Linked DNA regions of Sus scrofa. The protein of the gene in region 1 purifies or fractionates together with the protein of each later gene. This does not show direct contact. Links are inferred from orthologs where the notes say so. Each region holds a gene or a part of one and is shown in the gene's direction. Other genes may lie near its edges.

Region 1 (4,425 bases):
ATTCGACCCCTAGCCTGGGAACCTCCATATGCTGCGAGTGCAGCCCTAAAAAGGCAAAAAAAAAATCTCGTCCCTGTAAATAATTATGTTTATTCACTAATAAAAGGCTGCTTTAATTGAGACTTTCTATTTAGGAAGAAGACACATATAGCAAGATAGGTGGAAATAACTGATATAAAGATTAAAAGGTCATGCTCATTGAGAATTTAATTTTCTTATAACTTTTCTTAAGCAGCCCTTTGGAAGAGGAAGAAGAGACAGCTGCTTTAGCAGCCTCTCGGTGGAGATGAGGACTAGCAGTATTTAGCTGGCATACTACTTTATACCAGTTTTAAATGTTGAAAGTCTTTCATACATATGGGAACGTTGCTGCTGGTAAAGCTAAACACCTTTCAGATCTTGCTTCAGCACTATAGCTGGTATCTGTTCTGATTAAGTGGTACCCATGTCTTACTGGTTGTTGTGTGTTTTGAGCATTTAGCCGTGCCTATAAAAATGGAGACATTTTTGGGATGCTGATACAAATTGGACTTGGATAACCATCAGGGAAATGATACCAGACCATGATGAGTTGTTGCTTCACCCTCACTAGGGTGGCTATAGTCAAAAAAACAGATCACAGTCCATGTTGTGAGTCTGTAGAGAACTAGAACCTTTATACATTGTTAGTGGGAATGTACGATGGTGCAACACTGTGGAAAACTGTCTGGCAGTTCTTCCAGAAATTGGCCGTAGAGTTACTATACGACCTAGCAGTGCTACTCCTGGGTGTATATACTCAAGAAAAATGAAGACATATGTCAACATAAAAACTTGTACACGAAAGCTCAGAGCGACATTATTCATATTAGCTGAAAGGTAGAAGCAACCCAAGTTCCGTCAACTGCTAAGAGAATAAATAAAATGTAGGGTATTCAGATAATGGAAGATTATTCAGCCATAAAAAGAAATGAAGTACTGACGCGTATGACAACGTGGATGAACTTTGAAAACATTATGCTAAGTGAAGGAAGTCAGTTGTAAAAGACCATGGATTGAATGATTTTATTTCTGCAGAATGCTCAGGAGAGGCAGATCTCTAGACTGCTTAGATTTCCATCGTTGACTAGTGCATTTTGGGGTGATGAAAATGTTCCAAAATTGATTGTGGTGATGGATATACCACTCTACAAATACACCAATAACCACTGTGTTATACACTTTATTTTTTATTTTATTTTTTGTCTTTTTGCCTTTTCTAGGGCTGCTCCTCCGGCATATGGAGGTTTCCAGGCTAGGGGTCGAAACCAAGCTGTAGCTGCCGGCCTACACCACAGCCACAGTAATTTGGGATCTGAGCCGGGTCTGCAACCTACACCACAACTCACGGCAACGCCAGATGCTTAACCCACTGAGCGAGGCCAGGGATCGAACCCGAAACCTCATGGTTCCCAGTTGGATTTGTTAACCACTGAGCCATGAGGGGAACTCCAACACTTTAAATGTGTTAATTGCATATTGAGTATATCTCAATAAAGCTGTTACCAAAAAACCAAACAAAAAAATCAGGCTTTGACTTTGTGACATAATGTGTATCATCGTGCTTTTCACCTCACTGTCCTTACAACATCCCAGGAGACAGGCGAGGTCACTATTCCCATTTTACAGGTTTGGAGATTGAGGCTTAGAGAGAGTATTTTGCCTGTCAGATGGCTGCTAGTCTAGAGAAATACAGAGATAAGGAGGAGACTAGGGTGAGACAAGAAATGACTAGTTCTCTTTTCTGTATCTCAGTCAGTAGCAGGAAGAGAGATGCCTTCTGATTTAAGTCTGTGTGTATCCTAACAAGGGTACATATTTTATGAAAATCTTGGCTTGTAAGTGGAAAGTTTCAATGTGAGAACAGGGGAGAAAAAGCTTTAGAACAGGAATAAGAAAGCAGATGGGAGGTAATATGGGTAATGATTTTCCTTGCTGGTTGTATGTGTGTGGTTGGCATCTACATGAGAGATAGCAAAAGAGCAAGGCAAATACACAAGAGAGAATAGGCTGGAAAGTATGAGTCAAAACTGTCACCTCTCATCACCTTATTCTATGTGGTTGCGTTTATTTTTTCCATACTGGCAATTTCTAAGGAATTAAGAAATCCTTTTGAGTTTCATTTTCCCAAGACTTATATGCATATTAAGGTGAAATAACAGATCCAGTTTATTCTTTGAAGTAGAGTTAATATGTAACTAGACTCTTGGCCCAGTCCTATACCTACGGCAAGCGCCTCTATTTATACACCTAGTGGTGAGGAGGTGGGTGGAGGCGTCCCTTACCAGCTGACGCTGTCAAAACAGGAAGCAAAGTTATAAATCTCTTTGTAGTAGATCAGAAACATTCAAAGGCCCTTCGCTGTGACAATTAAAACAGCAGCCGCCAAAAATGACCCTAAGGAGTTTTCACTAACTGCTAAGTGTAACTTCCTGTCTGGTATTTAGAAGAGATTCAGTTAGGTTTAGTCAGATCCTCTCATGGGAAAAATAAAAGCCACCCCAAAACAGGACATCCCAGTGTGCAGTTCGAAAGCTGCTTTTGTTAAAATCCACTTCCTCTGCCTCTTTTCCTCCTCCTTTAAGCCAATATAGGTAATGAGCGGCCCGGCAGTCACCACCTTCCGTGGGAAGAAATGCAGATTTGATTTGCCAGGGCCTGGTGCTCGCCAGGCAGGCAAGCCTTTACCAGGTAAGTTTGTCACCTTGCCCGGCCCCCGGCCCTCCTGTCCATGAGGTTTTGCACAGAGGACGTCAGCAAAGACAGGGTTCTCTCGGTCACCTCCTGAACCCTGCGTCTGGGTAACAGAGCTGCAGAAGGCAGGAGCTGGCCGGGGATGGGAGCAGCCCGTCCTGTCCTTCCTGACGCCATTGTAAACCCAGAAAAGTGGAGACCCGGGCTGTCAGCTTCATCCTTCTCTCGAGAATGTGATCATTTTCCAGTTCTTGGCTTCTTAGGAAAAAGCAGTCAGGGAACCATCTATCTGTTGTGACACATATGCTTCATGTGCTTTCAGACTAGCTTATGATGTGTTGACTGTTTACTGTCCTAGAAAGTTTCCTTTGTGCTGTTGTGTGGTGGTGTGCTCATCCCATATTGGACTTGATTTTACTTTTAAAAATAGGTAGTTCGGAGCTCTTAATGGGGGAATTTGTACTGGGGCGGGGGGCGGTAAATGGAGGGGAATTTGTTTGAACAGAGCCTTGCTCAGAGGAAACGCAGATGCAAAACTTCACATTGGCTGTGGTTACGTACTTTTCTGTCACTGGAGTTTATTTCCAGGGTGACGTAGTTTTTCTGATCGGGTCAGACGTCCATATCTGGTTTAATCTATCTTTTTATGTACTGGTCATATAAGCTTTCAGAGGAAGAAAAAAATCTCAAGTGATGAGTATTATTTGATCTCATATGTCATGCTTGAATATTGTTACTAAGGGAAAACTTTTAGGCTGGTTAGAATTTTTTTTTTTAATTGTTTTCTTTCCTTTGGAATTACATCTTGCCCTGTGGATGTTTTCCTTTCTAACGCCGTATGAATGAGGTGGTAGATACTGGTAGGCATCCTCACTCTGGACCACATTTAAAGTGAGAGGAGGAGTTCCCGTTGTGGCTCAGTGCTAACGGGCCCGACTAGTATCCATGAGGATGTGGGCTTGATCCCTGGCCTCGCTTAGTGGGTTAAGGATCCTGCCTTGCTGTGAGCTGTGGGTGTAGGTTGCAGACACGGCTTGGATCCCGAGTTGCTATGGCTGTGGTGTAGGGAGGCGGCTACAGCTCCCATTCAACCCCTAGACTGGGAACTTCCATATAATGCAGGTGCAGCCCTAAAAAAAAAAAAAAAAAAAAAAAAAAATAATCAATCAATCAATAAATAAAGTGAAAGGATTGGAACAGCCCGTATTTTCTTAGCAGCTTTAGTATACTAGGAGATCAGTGTGCTATAATTCTTTTCTTTGGCTATTACTTTTCTCTCTTAGTAAAAGAGCCATATGGTCTCAGCAGAAAATTAAAATACCTGTCAGGGACCTGAATTAAAACCCCATGTCCTGGAGCAGGCTCGCAGCCTTGTGTCCATTCAGCGATATCTCTTGACTCTCACTTAATCCTCTTCCTTCCACAGCATGAATAGTCTTACTTTATCGCCTGCTACTCTGTATCTTACTGTCTTGTTACAGAGGGTCTCAGGTAACTACAGTGGTTGAAATCAGAGAATTAGAAGAAAAAACAAACAAACCTTTAAATAATAAGCCGACTGTTGAAGGAGAAGACTGAAGCTTTAAATATAAATTCTGGGGGAGAGGGAGGGAATGAGATGGAGTGGGAGCTTGAGGTTAATAGATGCAGACTATTGCTTTGAGAATGGATTAGCAATGAGATCTTGCTGTGTAGCACTGGGAACAGTATCTA
Region 2 (3,727 bases), on another chromosome or scaffold:
CCCCCTTCCTCAAGGAGGTAAAGTGCCTGAGATGACACGTTTTATCTCTGATTCTCCCAGGCTCAGGCCACGGCATCGCCGCACACATCGCCCACGCATGGAGGTGGCCGCCCGCTGCCGATGCCTGTGCGCTCCGCCTCCGCTGGCTCCACCCCCACCCACTGCCCGCAGGACCCCCTGAGCGGCGTCGGCGGGGACATGCAGGAGGCCTTCGCCCAAGGTGAGCTCGGGGGCAGAGTGTGCTGGAGAGCTGGAGGGGTTGGAATCATGGACAGGATTCCTACTGAGGGCTTCCCGTCTCTTTCCTTTTGTGTGCTTAGCTCTCAGTGACTGCATTTTCACTATGGTAAAAAATAAGTCAGGCGCTGGCCCTTTCTCATCGCATGGGCGGCGCCCGTCGGGAGGGCTGCAGGCTGTGTGTGTGTGTGTGTGTGTGTGTGTGTGTGTGTGTGTGAGAGAGAGAGAGAGAGAGAGAGAGAGAGTGTGTGAAGTACAGGCTGCCTGGGCTTCTGTGCTCTTTTTGCCAAGTTGTGGGAAATGCCTTGTCTTTTTTGCCTCGCCTGGAGGAACTGGATGGAGGAATTCCCAAAGTCACGTGCTCGGCCTGGAAGGTTTCGAGCAAGCAGGAGGTGGAAGAGTGGAACTGCAGACAGGCCCTTGCTCAAGGCTTCTGGTCCGCGGAGCCAACAGCCAGCCGTGTCTGTAGCTGGGGGAAGACGAGGCCGCTCAGGAGGCCTTGTTGGGGTGGAGACGAGAGCAGGGAGGTGGTTCTGGGGAGGAAGTCCTGCCCCAGGGTTTGTTCTGGAATCCACCTCTTTTGACTGTGGCTGAGATGCGCGGAGCTGGCAGGGCCCTGCTCTTCGGCGGAGGAGAGCGAGGAGGGCCATGGGCCTGGGTGCCTGTGCACCTGCCGTGCCCGGGGGCCCGCTGAGCTGCTCCGCCCACCTCCCCTTACGCATTCCGTGTCCCAAGGCCCGGCCCTCAGCTCGCTCCCCCACCCACCACCTGGCACTGCCATCTGCTCTGACTCCCCCCAGGTACGAGGAGAAACCTCCGCAATGACCTGCTGGTGGCTGCCGACTCCATCACCAACACCATGTCATCCCTGGTGAAGGAGCTCCACTCAGGTGACGCCCAGAGCTCCCGCCCGGCCTCCCGCCGCCCCCTCCGTGCCCTCCTCACTGCCCCGGCCCACGGTCCTCTTGCCTTCCAGGAGCGCTGGAGGTCTTCTCCCCGAGAACCTGGCTCCCACCCGGGGTCACCCAGAGCTGATCACACACGTGGGTCTCTCCTAAGAGCGCGCCTTGCGGAGCAAACACATCTCAGCCTCCAAAGCAGCGCCGTCTGGGCGCAGTTAGGCCCGGCCTCGCTTAACCTGTCTTCCGTCTGTGCTTCCTCCACAGCTGCTCTTTCCTTAGGCCTGCTCGGCTGGCTCCCTCGGGCGCTCTCCTGGATGACTGGAACCGAATCAGCCACAAAAGCTTCTGGACTTTCTCCCGGCTGCCTTTCTGCTCTCTCCTATTTGATTTGGTTTTGAAACCCTATTCTCTCCTTTTGTCCATGGCGAGGCTCTGATTTCACTCCAAGTTCATGACCTGAGTCCCTTGCTTCCTTCATTCCTGGTGTTCAGTCTTATCTATGACTCTCTCTCTATCACTGAGCTGTTTCGGTGATTTTCCAGAGACCCTTACCTTGTGGCAAATTTCCCCATCCATAAAACCCAGGAAGGAGAGAAAAGGCTAGAAGAGAAGGCCATTCCCATATCATCGTATCTTTAAGAATCCCCATGATTCCATCAATTTCATAGCTGCCAGATATTTTACTAATGTTTTTTACAGCGGTCTGATTTCCGTGTCATATTTTAAATAAACAGGCTCCCTTCCTAAGTGCTGTGGGTCGCTCATACCGATGGCCCGCTTTTGTTGCTTTTCACCTAATGCGGAGCTTTTAAATACCTTGAACTGGCTCACCAAGATTATTAAATAAAGACATAGAGCAGGGTTTTTTCCGTGGGCCTTGCAGACACATATCCTTATTCAGACACATACGTTGTAATCATCCGTCCATGCGCTTAAGGAAGGCCAGCTTTGGGTGTTTCCTCAGACCTTTGTAAGAGAATCACGTGCCTTTAGTATTGTCATGGGCCCAGGCCAAGGTCTGACCCACAGCTTCACTCTTAAATCTGCTGTTTTGGTTTGGAGGAGAGTAAGTGTGTGGCCTAGGTTGGTTTTCCAGGGCAGTTAAGGTGCCAGTTCCCCTGTGCAGGGAGTGTTATGATAACACTGTCTCCGCTCCAGTACCATTTCTCAGTTCCCTTTAGAAGCACTGCCCCTACACACACACACACACACACACACACACACACACACAGAAACAGGAGCGGTGACCGCAAGGAGTGTTATGATAATGCTATCTCCCCTCCAGTACCATTTCTCAGTTCCCTTTAGAAGCACTGCCCCTCCACACACACACACACACACACACACACACACACACACACACACAGAGGCACACACGAGAGGTGACCGCCTTTGAGATGACCTCATAGGTGATTAGAAAGTCCCTTCCCTTAAATAGCTCCCCACAGACGCCAGAAATCCCACTTTTGGAGGGAATTTCTTAGGGAATTTCAGGCCTCGGAAATGAAGCACACGTGCCTCATGGCCACCTATTAGGGTTTGTGCAAAATAAGTGGTTCATGAGCTTGTCACACTGGTTCGCGAAGTAACTAGACATCCTTAAATGCGAAGTACGTAGAGCCCAAACAGCTTCGGAGAAAGTGAGTGTGAGGGTGCCCAGCCATCTCTCCGGTAGAAAGGACCGTTTTACGCATCCTGCTGTCCCCTCCCCTTGCTGTGGAAAGGTGGTGCTTGGCCTAAGGGTGTGCAGCTTGAAGGGGCAGAGCTGGTCCTGGAGCTGAGGTCTGAACGTGACGCTGAAGCACAGGATGAGGTGTCAGGTCTGCCGTCCCGCGAGGGCCCCTCTCGGATGCCCCGCTTCCCGAGCCCCAGAGTCCATAGGCGGCCGTGGACTAGGGCCGCAGCCAGTGTCCCTGTCAGACAGATGTGAACTCCTTTCATTCAGGTGCCAGGCGGCCAGGTTCTGAGCGAGGGCAAGAGCCTTGCCTGACACCAGCCCAGTGTCCCTGTCACTGTCGAGGCTGCTGTGAGGTGGGATGAGACACCCACACTGCCTGTGCATGCATTCTCTACAGCATGGACATGCTGTTTCTACCCACCCTCCTCATCTTTTTTGAATTTTTGTCACAAATAATGGGCTCTTAGATGTGCAAAGGACCTCCGAAGTCATTTCATCCAGCTTGCTGCCCAGTATAAAAGTCCTCTGTTTGAATATTTCCAGTGAGCTCATTCATGACCAGCTCCCATCCCTGGGAAGTTCTTTCTAATCCTGGAGACAGAACTCTGACTTGCCATGACGAAGTGACCCTCACTCCACCCCCCAGATCCCCAGAGTGAGTTCGGCCCGTCCTCTTCAGGTTGGCCCTTCAGGTAGCTGATGGATGTCACGTGGCTCCCCCGCAGGCCTCCTGCTCAGGCAGCTGTTTGGTCCCTTTGGCCCGTCTTCATGTGACGTGGGTTTCACTCGAGCATCCCGTGTGCCCACCGGGATGTGGCCAAGTGTTTCCAGGCCCCGGTTCAAGGGAGGTCCTGGGGCTCCAGCCGACGGCTCCACCTTGGGGGGTGGGGTCTGTCCCCGCCCCCACCCT
Region 3 (3,531 bases), on another chromosome or scaffold:
ACCCGCCCTCACAGAGGTCCCAGCACTAAACTCTCCCTCGCTCTGTTTTTTGAGGAACCTGAATGAACCTGAAAGCAAAGACCGAGTGGAGACGCTCAGGTGAGAGAGGGCTGGAGCCAGCGCCGGCCCTGCCCGGGGCCACCCGGCTTGCCACGAGCCGCCTGCTCCTCTCGTCCTTCTGCCACCTGGCTCTTCCTCCTGTGCTTCTGCCTCCCCCGTCCTCTCGGGGGTCTCCCTTTCCTCAGAGAACCCCACCCCCACCCCCGCCCTGCTGCAGTAGGTGCGGGCCCTTCTCCTTAGATCTGGTGTGTCCTGGAAGCAGGAGCCCTGGGCCGGGGTTTGGAGGTACAGACTCCTTCCCTGTCGGCAAGCTCCCCTTCCCACGAATCAGCCACTTCTTGCTGTCCAGTCTGCGAACTGCTCAGGGCTTGGAGCATGTGCTCCCCTTTCTTCGCCGCCCCTCCCTCTACAAAGGAAAGCCTGGAGCTGTCACCTCGTCACCCCCGCCCCCCGGGGGGCTGCAGGACTGCGCACCCTCCTCACCCCTCCCTCCGCTCCCCGGGCCAGGTCTGAGGCGCCCTCTTCCAGCACCGCCGCCTCCTGGCACCCTCCCGCTCTTCTCTCCGTCTCAGGGTCCTTGTGCCAGGGGGGCTCTCCCATGGGTGGGGCGCCCCAGCTCCCGCCTGACGCCCGCCTCTGCCCTCTCCGCAGACCTCACGTGGTGGGCAGCGGCGGCAACGACAAAGACAAGGAGGAGTTTCGGGAGGCCAAGCCCCGCTCACTTCGCTTCACGTGGAGCATGAAGACCACGAGCTCCATGGAGCCCAACGAGATGATGCGGGAGATCCGCAAGGTGCTGGACGCAAACAGCTGCCAGAGCGAGCTGCACGAGAAGTACATGCTGCTGTGCATGCACGGCACGCCGGGCCACGAGAACTTCGTGCAGTGGGAGATGGAGGTGTGCAAACTGCCTCGGCTCTCTCTCAACGGTGTTCGATTTAAGCGGATATCGGGCACCTCCATGGCCTTCAAAAACATTGCCTCCAAAATAGCCAACGAGCTTAAGCTTTAACAGGCTGCCAGGAGTGGGGGGCGAAGGAGGCGGCCAGCTGGACTTAGCTGCTGGGGCCGGCGCTCCGCCCGCCCGGGCCGGACTGCAGAGATGGATTGGTGTGTCTCCCCTGCTGGCACTTCTCCCCTCCCCGCCCGTCTCAGTTTTTTCTTCCATGTTTGTGGGGGCCGGGAGATGGTTCTCGCCCCCACCACGGTTACCCTGCCCAGATCGTCCCCCTCCCCCCCTCTCTCCCGCAGGAGGCGAAGGAAGGGGAGGGAGGGGTGGGGGGCGGGGCTCCCCCTCGGTACTGCGGTTGCACAGAGTATTTCGCCTAAACCAAGAAATTTTTTATTACCAAAAAGAAAAAAGAAAAAAAAAAAAAATCCCAGCGGCCACCTTTCCTCCCTGCCCCATTGGGACAGTCGAGACTGGATCTGCGGGGTTTCCCGGGAGGGTGGCTCAGGGCTGGAACACTCTCAGGCAAGAGTGGTGGAGTTCCCTGTTAGGCCCTCCGCCAGGCCCACTTTGGGCTTCTCCCCTCTCCTCTCCTCCTTCCCCTCCAAGTAAACCACCAGAGGTGGCCTTGCCCTGACCTCAGGCCCCTGGGCTGGAGGCCTGGGCGGCGGGGGGCTGGGGGTGGGGGTGCCGCGCAGCCCTGAAGCCGTGGGGCTGGCGGCTGCTCTGGGGCTGGCAGGCTGGGCGCGGGGCTCCGGCCTCCCTCCACACTGTATCCTCTGCCCCTCCTTCCCCAGAGCTGGGCATTTCCTTCCACAAGCTGCTGTGGGGACTTTTGTTCCCCTCCTCAAAAAGTCTGTGCCATCTTCTCCCACCCCCTCCTGGGTAGAAGGCGGGGCTGACCCCAGGGCTGGGAGAGGGGAGGGGACTGCAGGGCAGATGGGCTCCTCGGCCCCCAGGGGGCCGCCTGGGCTGCTAGTCTCCGGAACAGGGACGCTGGGCATTCTCCGTTCTGGGAGAGCCTTTGTCTGAAAGCACAGCCCCCCACGCCGTTCCTCTCCCCACTGCTCCCCTTCGTTGGCATTAATCTGGGCACCAGCTAGTTCCATAGCAGTGACTTCCCTCACCACTCATCTCTTGGCCTTGCCTTTTCTTCCTCACACTGTCACCCCTCCTCTCAGGAGACACTGCCCCGGGGCCTCCGCGGGAGGCTGGATAGGGCAGCAGGGCCGGGGAGCCTCTGCTCTCGGCGGCGGGGTGGGGGACCGATAGGCCAAGTGACTCCCAGCTCGCTAACCTCCGCAGCCAGCGTGGGAGTGGCTGGTTATGGGCGCTTGGCTGGTGGCAGCCGCTGCATCCCTTAATTTATTTCTCTGCTGTCTCTGTTCTTGAGAAATTGGGGGAGAGGTCCTGAACAGAGGCTGCCTCTACCCTCACCTGAGTTGTACATTTTTTTGTGATGGGTTTTATTTTTTATTTTATTATTTTATTTTTTTTTTCTTTTTTTGATTTATGATGACTCCACCCCTACTCATCACCCCCACTCCCAGGCCTGGCTCCCCGGCAAGTTGAGCCCTTGGGTCCCAGGAAGGGGCCCCGCCAACCTCAGCCCTCCTGCCCCAAGCCCTAAGACTGTGGGCTCGACTGTGGGCTCCGGCTCCTACCAAGGGCTCTCCCTCCCTCCCTCCCTCTCTCCCTCCCCTGCCCTATGGAACAGCCCGGGTGCTCCGAGGGGCCGGGAGGGCAAGGCTTGGCTCCCAAAGGGGGTGGTGGCTGGGGGGGGGCTCCCAGGCAAGGTGGCCCCTCCCCACCCAGCCCCCCTTCCTGCACTTAGTTTTTCCTCTGGATCAAACACGTAATAAAGAGAATGTTTGGAATCTGAGCTGCCTCCTGTCTCTTCTCCCAGCTGGGCAGGGACCCAGTGTCCATGGGCAGCCCAGCCCGCCTGCCTTGATTCCTGTCTGGGGCCTGGGGAAAGGCCAGTGCTGGGCGGGCGCCCTCCCCACTCCCATCCTCATGGCACAGACAGGAAGCGACGTCCAGGACACTTAAACTAAAAGAGAAAGGATTCAGTGAGCTTGAAGGTTTTATTTATTTTTTAAAAACATTGAAAAATAAACCCATGTCTGCATATGTTCCCAACCCTTTCTCTAAGCTTTTGGGCAGTGGGCACCCTCAGAGCTCCTCAGCACTTCCCACCTGACCCTGAAGACACAAGAGCCCCTTCTCCAGCCTCCGCTGCCGTCAGGCCCCAAAGAGCCTCTCTGCCCACCTCCCTCCTTCAACACCCTCCCACCTCACCCCAAACTTATTGCTAAAAGAAGGGAAAGAGGAGGAACAGCCAAGACACCTAACTGTCCTCTCCCCGGCTCCCCAAGCTATGGTCACTACCCCCTATACTCGAAGGGCAGGACCCAAAGGCCAAGCCCTGGCAGGCGAGGAGGCAGCCGTTCCAGACCCAGCCAGGAAGAGAAAGTAGCCTCGGGCCAGCTCAGAAGACCCCAGACCCTGGCTGGGAGCGG
Region 4 (3,727 bases), on another chromosome or scaffold:
CTCTTCTCTTTGATGCCTATTCTGTATGTCAAGAAAAACGAGTTTTGAACCTGAGAGTTAGAAAAGGCTCAAGTCACCTGAAAACTAAATTTAATGAAGTCCTGTGCAAAACAGCAGAGAAATCCAGACTCCTTGCAACAACTTCAGGAGTGTTCTAGAAAAGAATGAAGATGACCAAAGGGGTTTGGCTTAGTTTACATTCCACAAATTTCATAAAATCCTTTTCTCAACAAGCTGAACTCTACTTATCAGGAAAACAATGAGGCCGTTGATAGAGCAGCCAGAGGAGAATAACAAAGAGTTTGTGTGGACTGAGCTAGCTGGGTGGTGGGAGTGAAGAAATTATGGAAATGACCAAAGGTGCAACCCAGTTTCAAACGGAAAGATGCCCGCAGAGAGTTGGGCAAACAAGCTTATGTTTTAATCAGCGCTTCAATTAACTTGATAATGTCTTCAATTTTTCCTGTGTAGATTAAGAATATCTTCAGATAACCAATTCCATTATATAAAGGCCACAACAAATACCACTTGAGGTCAACTAGAAGGAAAAGTCATCACAATCATTTAATTCAGACCGCCTGATGGCCTGGCTCTAAAGTTCAAACACAGAGGAAGGGAGTAAAGAAAACATGTTTAGAGCCCATGTGCACACATACTCTGCAGATGTTACAAATGAAAAGTGTCAAAATCGAGGATTCATGGTGGGAAGCCATTAACTACATTAGTGCCGAGGCTATGTTACCTTTTGGTTGTCCTTGGACTGGGTGGAGGAGATTCAGGGCTCTTCTGAGAGGCTTATTTAAGAGTTGCCAATGGGGCTGTGCCCAGAAGGGCTCATAGACCTATTAGGGAATGCACCTCTGCAAAATATCAAACCTTAGTTTACAAGTTAAAAGATGACTGCAGAAGTCGCAGGAAGGGGTATCCAGTTACCCACTTCATTCTGTGAGCAGAGAGACACCCTATTTCTTCCCCCAGACGGAAGGGCTCTCCCACCCTAGTTATTACTGAGAGCCTCTCTGCCAAGGTCCTTCTTCACCTTCCTCCTTAGCCTGAGCACCAGAGTATGAGAAGGATGCAGGAGACAGAGTGGAGGAAAGAACTTGACTCTTGAAATCTAAACCACTGGGTTATGACATGTTCACCTCTCTGAGCTTTGTTTTTTGTTTTTTTCTTTATAGGCCACAGATGCAGCATACAGAAGTTGCCAGGCTAGGGTCAAATCAGAGCTACACCTGCTGGTCTACACCACAGCCACAGCAACTTGGGGTCAGAGCCATGTCTGTGACCTAAACCACAGCTCACAGCAACACGGGATCCTTAACCCACTGAGCGAGGCCAGGGACCGAACCCCCATCTTCATGAATACTAGTCTGGTTTGTTAACTGCTGGGCCACGATAGGAACTCCTTTTTTTTTTTTTTTTTTTAACCTATTATATTAATCTAAGGTCCTGCTTCCAAAGAGTCGTAAAGTGAAATTCAGTGTGGTGTATAAAGCTGAGCTGAGCTTTAAAGAGTAGTCAACTACCTTCACTCCTCTGGAGCCCCATAGCCAGCAAGGAAAATGTCCTCGTTTCCCTGAAGAGTTTCCAGCGGCATATGAAGACCAGAGGCAGTTTACTAGCCAGGGGTTGTTAAATGCGGTGTTTTCTGAGGCAAAAAAATCCAACCTGATGCTTAATCACCTTTTCCAGAACTCTTTTGATTAAAGGGTTTTTTTTTGTTTGTTTTTTTTATGGCCACACCCGTGGCATATGGAAGTTCCCAGGTTAGGGGTCCAGTTGGAGCTGCAGCTGCTGGTCTATGCCACAGCCACAGCAACGCCAGATCCAAGCTGCATCTGCGACCTATACCACAGCTCACGGCAATGCTGGATCCCCGACCCACTGAGAGAAGAACCCGCATCCTCATGGATACTAGTCAGATTTGTTTCCACTGAGCCACAACAGGAACTCCTGATTATTAATTTTTAACTTGAGAAAGAAGTTTGTGACTGGGCCCTGAGAGTGAGGAGACTTGAAGGTCAAGTGCCTGGGGAAATGACAGGCTTCCATTGTTCACATTTTGTCCCTTCTCTGTCTCTATCAGCTTGTACCTACAAAAACCAGGAGTGCCGTTTGACCATCCATTATGAGAATGGATTTTCTGTTACCACTGAACCACAGGAGGGTGCCTTTCCCAAGACAATCATACAGGCTCCTTATGAAAAGCTGAAAATGTCTTCAGATGATGGAATCAGGATGCTGTATTTAGATTTTGGAGGCAAAGATGGAGAGCTCGTAAGTGTACTTTTCCTTAGTTTGATTTCATGTATTTCATCATGCACCACACGTTGCTTGCAAACATAATGCTTATATTTATTTAGCATTTGACTGTTAACAAAGTACTCAGACAGGTTCATGTCATATTCAATCCTTGAAAAACAGTGATCAGATCTAATTTTTTCAGATCTGTACCTTGGTCTCATTTTTCATCAGAATACTACAGAAATATGTGAATCAAAGATAAGGATCCTTTACAAAGCCTTAAGTTCTTCTCAAAGAGAGTCCCACCAGCCTCAAAAGGTACCTTTAACTGTTTAAAGGTCTCAAGCATCTACTTTAACCTGGGCATTGTGCTAGGTGTCAGACATGCAGGGGTATAAAGTGCAGGGTCTCAAAGCCCTGGCCAGCTGGGAGTTCTCAGAGGATCAGAGACCTTGAAGAGGGCGGGGTGGAGGTGGAGTGGGGTTGGGGCTGGACCAGGAGCAGAGCAAAAGGGGCAGTGAGGAAACCAAGCAAAAATGGTCCCTCCTAGGGGAATGGAGAGAGGGCCAGACAGGGGCCCAGGAGTTTTGAGAGCATGTCAAAATGTGTCCAACAAAATCAGCCAGTTGCTCAGTTAAGGTAACATTTATACTTCTCATAGCAATGCAAATTGCCCATGTATTTATAATCATGATTTCCTGTGATCGTGACTGCCAACGCTAATGAAGGAGTTCCCTTGTGGCACAGCAGGTTGGGGATCCAGTGCTGTCACTGTGGCCTGGGTAACTGCTCTGGCAAGGGTTCGATCCCTGGTCGGGGAACTTCGGTGTGCCATGGGCACAGCCGAGAAAACAAAACTATGTTATTTCAGTTCCACTGAAAAGTGAAGCTGCACATTCTATTTCCTGGCAAGTGTCATTCTCAGGAAGACACAGCATCTCATATAAGCCGTGGAATGTTGAACTTCAAAGAGGACTTGATTCGGAACAACTAGTCTCTGTTTAGGTCCTTCCTAGTCACTGGCTTAGTCAACAAATAATTATTGGCTCACATTTGCTAACAGAGATGGGGGCTATATGAAATACAGAGATCAATCGCAATTTTAAAGATCTAGTCATTTCACCTCAGCTACTAGCCTTGCACAAGACCTCCTCCTCTCAGTCCCCGCTCTCTGAAGGAAGGGGTCAGGGCCACGCTGAAAAGAGCAAAGGGGCCTTTAATCTCAAAGTTTCAGCACCCCCGTTTAAGATCTTGCAACACCACTAGCCCCAGTGTGGTACCACATTTCTTCCTGCGGGTATCGCAGGCTGTCACGATGAAGTCGGTGCCCGGCAGCTGACAGGTGATTTGAACTCACCTTCTGAGAACAATTTCCAGCCAGTCGTTTTTCTTACCTTTAAAAGGGATCCACAGAATTTTATAGAATTTTGCCGTTGTTTATTTGTGTGTTTCAATCAGTTAATTCATCCGGAAGCATTAG
Region 5 (3,727 bases), on another chromosome or scaffold:
ACTTAGTTTGGGTGGCTCTCCAGTTTGTGTCCAGTTTATAGCCAGTTTATATCCATGTTTCTACCTCTCCAGTCATGTGGAAAATCTACATATCTAGAACTATTCTCTAACACAGCAAAGTGGAGATTTATAAACCCATAAATTGAAGGTTTGTTTACAATTTTTTAAATATCCAAACTATGTCCTCTAAAAGGACACCTTAAATTAGAATCAGTGCATAGCATCCACTGAAAAGCTGCATTTACTGTCCAGCTAATAAACCTCATCTACCCATTTACTTGGTGATATAAGAGGTCAAAACTGCCTCAGGCATCTCTGTGGGTCATGGGTTCATTTATAATGTATCCACACATTCAATAATAGATGGAATGGTTTGATCCACTAAGTATCAAACTCTCCTTCCCCAGGGGAAATCTCACCCAGGTAGTCTCTCCGACCCTTCCCATGCCCCCATCCCCAGCCTGGCATAGGTGTGTGATCTCTGCCCCCACTAAAGCATGCCCTCTTTTGAGTTGGTGACATCAGAATGGATCATTCACCTAAGCCTCCTTCTATACAACTTCTTCACCCAGAACTTTTCATCAAACACCAAGTCCTACTGATTTCCCTTTCTAGAAGGTTCTCAGATTTCTTTCCTCATCACCATCTCTCATCTGGCCTGTTGCATTAAATCCCAAACTGACCACTCTGTCCCTGGAATTGTTTGTACATTTACTGATTTTAGGTAGTGCATCATGGAATCCTCAGGAAAGATACTAATGCCCCAGAATATTTCTCATTACAAGTCAGCTGGAATAATAAGACTTTTTTAATAAGACTTAAAATAATAATTCCTTTTTTAATGGGATCTATAGATTCAAACAGAATTATAAAGATAGTGCTCTTGCTCAAAATTCCTTTTGAAATATCCTATAGGTATTATATAATTATATAATGCAATTATATGTTAAATAATCTTTTGTATATTCTTGATGATGAGAACTTTATATATGTTGAAAATCACAGTAGCACTTTTGACTTCCAGGAGTGATTTTTAGCTAGTGTGATGAATGGTCAAATGGATAAAATCATGTGAAGTACAAAAAGAGGAAATACAAGAAATTAAGATGCTTTTGTTTTTGTGCTTCATATACTGGCTGTAACAGCAGTTTGAATGAGGAAATTCCAAAATTGTTTTAATTGCTTCATAGAAAGCCATCCCAAGTGATTGTTTTGAAAGACAGCAGTATTTTAGACATGATGTAGTAGCTTTTTAAAAAAATACTGTCTCGTTGCTTATACTTTACATAATTTATCTCTTAATAATCATGTTAATAACAACCCAATAAAAAGCTTAAGTTATTTAGTATTATGAGATAAAGCTAAAATTGTAATATCTTCTGATAAAAAAAATTAATAAAATTATTTGCAAAGTAGAATAATTAGTGTAAAGTTTAAGCCTTTAAAAGGCTTAATACACTTCAATACTGATTTCTCATCTAAAAATATAAAACCATGCCATCCACCTTGATCTTCTAATTCAAAATTTTAAATAAAATAGTGGCTTTTGCATGTAAGATTTTGTTAGTCATACTGTTACAATATCATTTTAAGAAGTATTACTGTAACTTCTTAATTTTGTCATTTCGAAAGAAACAGATAAATTGCATTTCTTTTATACATCAGAAAGCACCAGGATAATGACACAGAAGCAGACTGAATTGTGAGAAAAGAAATATAAAGAAAGGAGAGAAGGAAATTTTTTTTTAATTTAGACTATTCTTTTCTGACACGGAAGATGGTTCCCTCTGAACAGGATTCCCTCCTAATCTTGTACAGCAGAACTATTCACATTAACCACAAAATAGTCCTTATGGAAGTTGGGGAAGTCTGAAAGGGAAGCTATTCCACAAATTTAGAATAGCAACTGATATGGGAATTGTGGAATGTGCTATATGATGCACTATTTGGGTAAAATGTTTTAGAGAACGTCTACTCTCCATCTTTCCTCATCATTTTCATGTATGGAAATGATCCTCTCATAATGGTTTTTCTCCTTGTGATAATATTGACTCGGGCTCAGTGGAGATAATTCAGTCCTATGTATGCTTAAATACAGAAAGCAATTAATCTTTTAAATTCGGAACTAGTTTCAAGCTCTGTTTCTTGATGTATGAGGGTTAATTGAATGTCTCGTTTCTTCTATCTCAAATGATATTTACATAGCAGGTATATTAAGATTATTCTCTGTTCTCAATTTTTATGGGTTTTTTGATGCAGAAAAAAGTCACCTTAAATGGTTTCTTGGACACGCTCATGTCAGATCCTCCCCCACAGTGTCTGGTCTGGCTGCCCCTTCTGCATCGACTGGCAAATGTAGAAAACGGTGAGTAGTTACTATTGGGCCAAGGCAATTTTTTTAATTAGTGAAATTAGGCCATCAAGTCTTTAGCTATAAAGCCAAGGTCATTGTTTTGGGGAATAGTTCTGAGTCTTTATAGAACTAACCTCTCTCTTTGATCAGTAAGACCTTATGGATGCATTGCAAAATTAGGACTGTTTTAAAAACTTATTAAATCTCACACACAGTCTGTCTCTCACAAGTCAGGTATAGCTTAAATATTTGCTGTAACAGAAGAAGAATCTTAATAAGAAATATAACATTTTCTAGTATTTTTTTAGGTGTGACCTTCCACTGTTGGTATACCTGGCATTGACTCTTTCTTCACTGTTGGTATTCCTGGCACTCGACCAGGTAGAGGAGATAGGAAAAACAAAACAAAACAAAACTGTATGATAGCACTTTGCTAATCTTTAGTCTTATGCTACAAATTGTAAGCTTTCAACAGTAGTAGTTACATAAAAGAAATGAGTAATGTGCTTTTTAAAATAAAAGCAAGTATTTATATAATAAAAGTAATTCGTTTTTGCATATCCAAACTTCAATATGAAATACAGTTCAGAACAAGACTTAAAGAAATTTAAACATAAAACAATTCAGTGCCTCCATCTGATCTTTAGATGTTCTTATTTATTGTTTAATTTAACTCTGGGAATTCTCTAGCATTAAAAATAAAATAATTTATCTCCTCTTACTGGAATCCTAACTTCTGAACACTTCTTTAATATGCAATGGGATTAAAGTTAGCTTTTTTTTTTTTTTTTTTTTTTTTTTTTTTTTAGGGCCATAGGTGTTGCATATAGAAGTTCCCAGGCTAGGGGTCAAATTGGAGCTGCAGCTGCCAGCCTACACCACAGCCACAGCAACACAAGATCCAAACCACATCTGTGACTTCTGCACTACAGCTCACAGTAATGCCGCATCCTTAACCCACTGAGAGAGGCCAGGGATGGAACCCACATTCTCATGGATCCTAGTCTGGTTAGTTAACCACTGGGCCACGAAAGGAACTCCCTAGCTTATTTTTATTTATTGGCCATGCCCATAGCATAGGAAAGTTCCCAGGCCAGGGATCAAACCTTCACCACAGTAGCAACCCAAGCAGCTGCAGTGACAATGCCACATTCTTAACCCACTTTGCCACAAGGGAACTCCTAAAGTTAACTAATTTTAAATACCCATTTAGAACAGTTAGCATCTCTTCTTATTATCTCTCTTAAAGTTAAAAATGTATCCTGTTCTGCTCATGAAGACAATTTAAAGAATGAACTTACTAGTTTCTCTATAATCACTACCAATCGTAGATTTTTTTTAAGTGCTTCTTATTCATCTGCAAGAGCAGAGCAG
Region 6 (3,727 bases), on another chromosome or scaffold:
AAAGTTTTTTGGTCTCATCAATTCAGATAGATCTTTTGAATTTTATCTTTGATAGGACTGACGGACTGTGTGACTTCTCAAATACCAGCCACTCTATGCCACTGCCCCTAAAACGCATCTCTGCCTTTTCTTTGGTTGTTCTCCTTCTTTCCCACTTGAAACCTTCTGCCTGTTCCTCACTGCCTATCAAGTTTGACAATTTTTTAAGGCCTCTCTCAAGTCCCATCTCCTTCAGGAAACCTTTCCTTGACTTTGGCCTTACTCAGTTTGGTGTTTAGTCACGTCCTACACCCTCTACCTTAAGTGGTTAGGGATTTCATGTGTTTTTTGTTTTTTGTGTTTTTTTTTTGCCATTTCTTGGGCCGCTCTCACGGCATATGGAGGTTTCCAGGCTAGGGGTCAAATCGGAGCCATAGCCGCCGGCCTACGCCAGAGCCACAGCAACCCGGGATCCGAGCTGCATCTGCAACCTACACCACAGCTCATGGCAACGTTGGATCCTTAGCCCACTGAGCAAGGGCAGAGATCGAACCCGAAACCTCATGGTTCCTAGTCGGATCCGTTAACCACTGAGCCATGACGGGAACTCCCCAGGGATATCATGTTTACACCTCTCATTTATGAGGTCTTGGGAGCAGGAACCATGCTTCTTATTTCTCTAGGACCACACACAGTCAGCTGTCAGCACACGGATTCACTTGATACCCACTGAATTGAACTGAATCAGATCATTTGTCAAGGAAAGGGATGGTAATTTCTTCCTCATCTCAATCAAGATGTTGACTTGAGTGAGCAAAACTCATTTCAGGAGGTTCCAAATAGGTTAGGTATCACATGTTCTCAAGAAGATTCTTTTTCCCTTGTTGAAGTCAGAAGAGTCCTTTGTCACTTGCTAGCTGAAGTAGGAACTTTATTAATGATGGCTTTCACTTGTCTTCAACAGGCTGCACGTTAAATGGTCAAGAGGTAAGACTCACTGTCCACTATGAAAGTGGGTTCACTATCTCCAGGGAAAATGGAGGTTCCAGCAGCATACTGTACCGCTACCCCTTTGAAAGGCTGAAAATGTCTGCTGATGATGGCATCAGAAATCTGTATCTGGATTTTGGTGGCCCTGAGGGAGAGCTGGTAAGAATATTTCTGAAAAAAAACCTGTTTATTCTAATAGGTATTCTCTTTCTTTTGTATTGCTTATTACCTCTTGTATAGAAAATTATGGACTTATAGACTGATACTCCATTTCAAGCCAGAAAATTATTTTTCAGTGTTCAGAGATGCATTGGGTTTGGTTGGGTTTCCTTTTTTTCCCCCACATTAGGAAATCATTCCCTTCTTTAGAAGTTTTGTTTGAGGAGTTCCTACTGTGGCTCACCAGGTTAAGAACCCTACTTGGACCCATGAGGATGTGGGTTTAATCCCTGGCCTCTCTCAGAGGTTTAAAAGATCCGGCGTTGCCATGAGCTGTGGTGTAGGTTGCAGACGAGACTTGGATCTGTGCATTGCTGTGGCTGTGGAGTAGGCCAGCAGCTGCAGCTCTGATTTGACCCCTAGCCTGGGAACTTACACATGCCACGAGTGCAGCCTTAAAAAAAAAAAGACAAAAATAGGAGTTCCCGTCATGGCACATCGGAAACAAATCTGACTAGGAACCATGAGGTTGCGGGTTCAATCCCTGGCCTCAATCAGTGGGTTAAGGCTCAGGCGTTGCCATGAGCTGTGGTGTGGGTTGCAGACGTGGCTCAGATCTGGCGTTGCTGGGACTGTGGTGTAGGCCGGCAGCTGTAGTTCTGATTAGACCCCTAGCTTGGGAACCTCCCATATGCCGCAAGTGCGGCCCTAAAAAGACCAAAAAAAAAAATCATATGCATAGATGGTCACACCTCAACTGAATTCACTGTGGTTCCACCTGGAAAACATACTTACCATCAATGGTTTGCATATAGGATATTGCTCTTTCCTTTACATCCTCTCCCTTTAAGTTCTTCCCATCTGGCACGGTGGAATCTAGCACACCACCAATAGTATCCCAGTTGTGGATGTGAAATCTCACACTAGTGTTTAATTAATTATGACATGGAATACCCTTACTTCAGAGTACACTTCCATTTTCAGCACTAAATTCCCAAGAGTTGCCGTAAATCTGGCACGTTCTTTATCCAAGTTCTTTTTAAAAAGTAGAACATCATGTCCAAATTTGTTTATTTTGCATGTTTATTTATTAAAGTATCTGTATATAGTGATAATTATTGTTCTTTCTCCACAGACCATGGACCTGCACTCCTGTCCAAAGCCGATTGTATTTGTGTTGCACACATTCTTGTCGGCCAAAGTCACTCGCATGGGACTGCTTGTATGAGCAGCAAAAAAAAATCAGTAAATAAAGAGCCTTGAATGTCACAAGAAGTATCTCCACCTCAAAAAAAAAAAAAAAAAAAAAAAAAAAAAAGCACAAAAAGAACACTCTTTCCTCTCTCCTCTGGCACAGTGCCTTGACAAGGACCTGCAAATCACTGCTGAACTGTAACCATGTTTAAAGAAGAGCCTGCCTTTTACAAGCTACCTTGGCCAGAAATCCTAGGATTGGAATAAGCTCCAAAATGAAGCTGTTGATTTATTGTCTAGTTCCTAATGTTGTTTCTAAGTAATTAGGTTTTTTTTCCCCTGTTAAGAAGGGTGGCTCATTCTTTTTCTTTTTGGACATAATCTAACATCTAAGAGTTTAGGGTTTTTTTCCTTCCTCTTCCAGAAGGAATTGTTTCAGGCTTAGCCTTGATCTCTTGCTTAGGACACCTCTCTCTTCCCAGGTGCTAGTCTGCAACAGCCTGTCACTCGAGTTAGGCTATACATTTTGATCAAGTCTACTGTCCTTACTTACTCCTTCCACCCTAGGAAGTCCTTGAATTTGTCACCAAAGGCTTCCTCATCCATCCTGGCTCTCCCTGCATCTCCCCCGGCCGTTACTTCTGACCACATCACAAGCTTTGCCCCTCATAAATGCTAACTGCAGGACTTAGAACTTGTGAGATTTGATTTGCTTTGCCTTCCACACTCCCTTTCTAGTGGTGACCAACTTGAAAAGCAAGCTGGGAACCACTGCTTTGAAAGAAAAATTTTGCTTGTTTTAGGATTTTCTGATTTTATCTTTGGTAGGAGCCAGGGGATAAGATTTATTTTAAAAGAAAATCCTCATTTTAGCCTAAGCCATTTTTTATTGCTTACCAAATGTGCCTTTAGTTAGGGTTAGTGGAGCTTTATTAGTCACTCTTTGGATAACTGGATATCACTGCCATTCCAGGGAGATCAGCTATCCTAGTTTTGAGAAGTAGTCTTTGAGGTGGGTTTCCTTAGTGTGGTATCTTTTCTAGTTGGCAGATGTCTTTAAGGAAGATAAATCCTGGAGAGCCAGCTTGTTTAAAGCGTACACTTTGTCGGTGAAGCCATCTCTTCAGCACAAACATCACGTTCACGTCTCTTTGGGCCATGTGAGCCCACTCTGGGGTCTTGGCCCTGGCCCTCTCACTCTGTGGCAGCAGAGTAGCATCTATCAGCAGCTGCTAATTCAGTGCTGGCTCAGTGATGCATCCTACAATGGGCAGGGTGACGAGACCAAGGAACAGGTCCCTGGGCTTTGCTAAGCATCGCCAGATGTCATCATTAGGACATATCAGCAGTAAGAGTGCTGATTGTGTTGTACTGGAGAATCACAGTCAGCTTCTTTTTCCTAATT

The links.
Region 2: the proteins of UTRN (region 1) and DTNB purify together in Homo sapiens (affinity purification with mass spectrometry; 3 studies listed by BioGRID and IntAct, with this or other methods). This does not show direct contact. The link is inferred for Sus scrofa from reciprocal best matches to the Homo sapiens genes UTRN and DTNB.
Region 3: the proteins of UTRN (region 1) and MARK2 purify together in Homo sapiens (affinity purification with mass spectrometry; 4 studies listed by BioGRID and IntAct, with this or other methods). This does not show direct contact. The link is inferred for Sus scrofa from reciprocal best matches to the Homo sapiens genes UTRN and MARK2.
Region 4: the proteins of UTRN (region 1) and SNTB1 purify together in Homo sapiens (affinity purification with mass spectrometry; 3 studies listed by BioGRID and IntAct, with this or other methods). This does not show direct contact. The link is inferred for Sus scrofa from reciprocal best matches to the Homo sapiens genes UTRN and SNTB1.
Region 5: the proteins of UTRN (region 1) and DTNA purify together in Homo sapiens (affinity purification with mass spectrometry; 3 studies listed by BioGRID and IntAct, with this or other methods). This does not show direct contact. The link is inferred for Sus scrofa from reciprocal best matches to the Homo sapiens genes UTRN and DTNA.
Region 6: the proteins of UTRN (region 1) and SNTB2 purify together in Homo sapiens (affinity purification with mass spectrometry; 4 studies listed by BioGRID and IntAct, with this or other methods). This does not show direct contact. The link is inferred for Sus scrofa from reciprocal best matches to the Homo sapiens genes UTRN and SNTB2.

The regions. Positions count from the first base shown.
Region 1 is NC_010443.5:20,984,529-20,988,953, reverse strand, and holds the start of UTRN (utrophin), read left to right. Parts: upstream 1-1,439; 5' UTR 1,440-2,615; coding exon 2,616-2,709; intron 2,710-4,425.
Region 2 is NC_010445.4:113,466,599-113,470,325, forward strand, and holds part of DTNB (dystrobrevin beta), read left to right. Parts: intron 1-60; coding exon 61-220; exon of another isoform or gene 221-1,037; coding exon 1,038-1,127; exon of another isoform or gene 1,128-1,403; coding exon of another isoform or gene 1,404-1,537; exon of another isoform or gene 1,538-3,360; coding exon 3,361-3,472; exon of another isoform or gene 3,473-3,727.
Region 3 is NC_010444.4:8,153,227-8,156,757, reverse strand, and holds the end of MARK2 (serine/threonine-protein kinase MARK2), read left to right. Parts: intron 1-54; coding exon 55-99; intron 100-711; coding exon 712-1,072; 3' UTR 1,073-2,888; downstream 2,889-3,531. UniProt on the Homo sapiens protein: Serine/threonine-protein kinase. Involved in cell polarity and microtubule dynamics regulation. Phosphorylates CRTC2/TORC2, DCX, HDAC7, KIF13B, MAP2, MAP4 and RAB11FIP2. Phosphorylates the microtubule-associated protein MAPT/TAU.
Region 4 is NC_010446.5:18,515,667-18,519,393, forward strand, and holds part of SNTB1 (beta-1-syntrophin), read left to right. Parts: intron 1-2,089; coding exon 2,090-2,280; intron 2,281-3,727. UniProt on the Homo sapiens protein: Adapter protein that binds to and probably organizes the subcellular localization of a variety of membrane proteins. May link various receptors to the actin cytoskeleton and the dystrophin glycoprotein complex.
Region 5 is NC_010448.4:118,672,058-118,675,784, forward strand, and holds part of DTNA (dystrobrevin alpha), read left to right. Parts: intron 1-2,259; coding exon 2,260-2,365; intron 2,366-3,727. UniProt on the Homo sapiens protein: May be involved in the formation and stability of synapses as well as being involved in the clustering of nicotinic acetylcholine receptors.
Region 6 is NC_010448.4:17,680,525-17,684,251, reverse strand, and holds part of SNTB2 (beta-2-syntrophin), read left to right. Parts: exon of another isoform or gene 1-404; intron 405-943; coding exon 944-1,128; intron 1,129-2,263; coding exon 2,264-2,356; 3' UTR 2,357-3,727. UniProt on the Homo sapiens protein: Adapter protein that binds to and probably organizes the subcellular localization of a variety of membrane proteins. May link various receptors to the actin cytoskeleton and the dystrophin glycoprotein complex.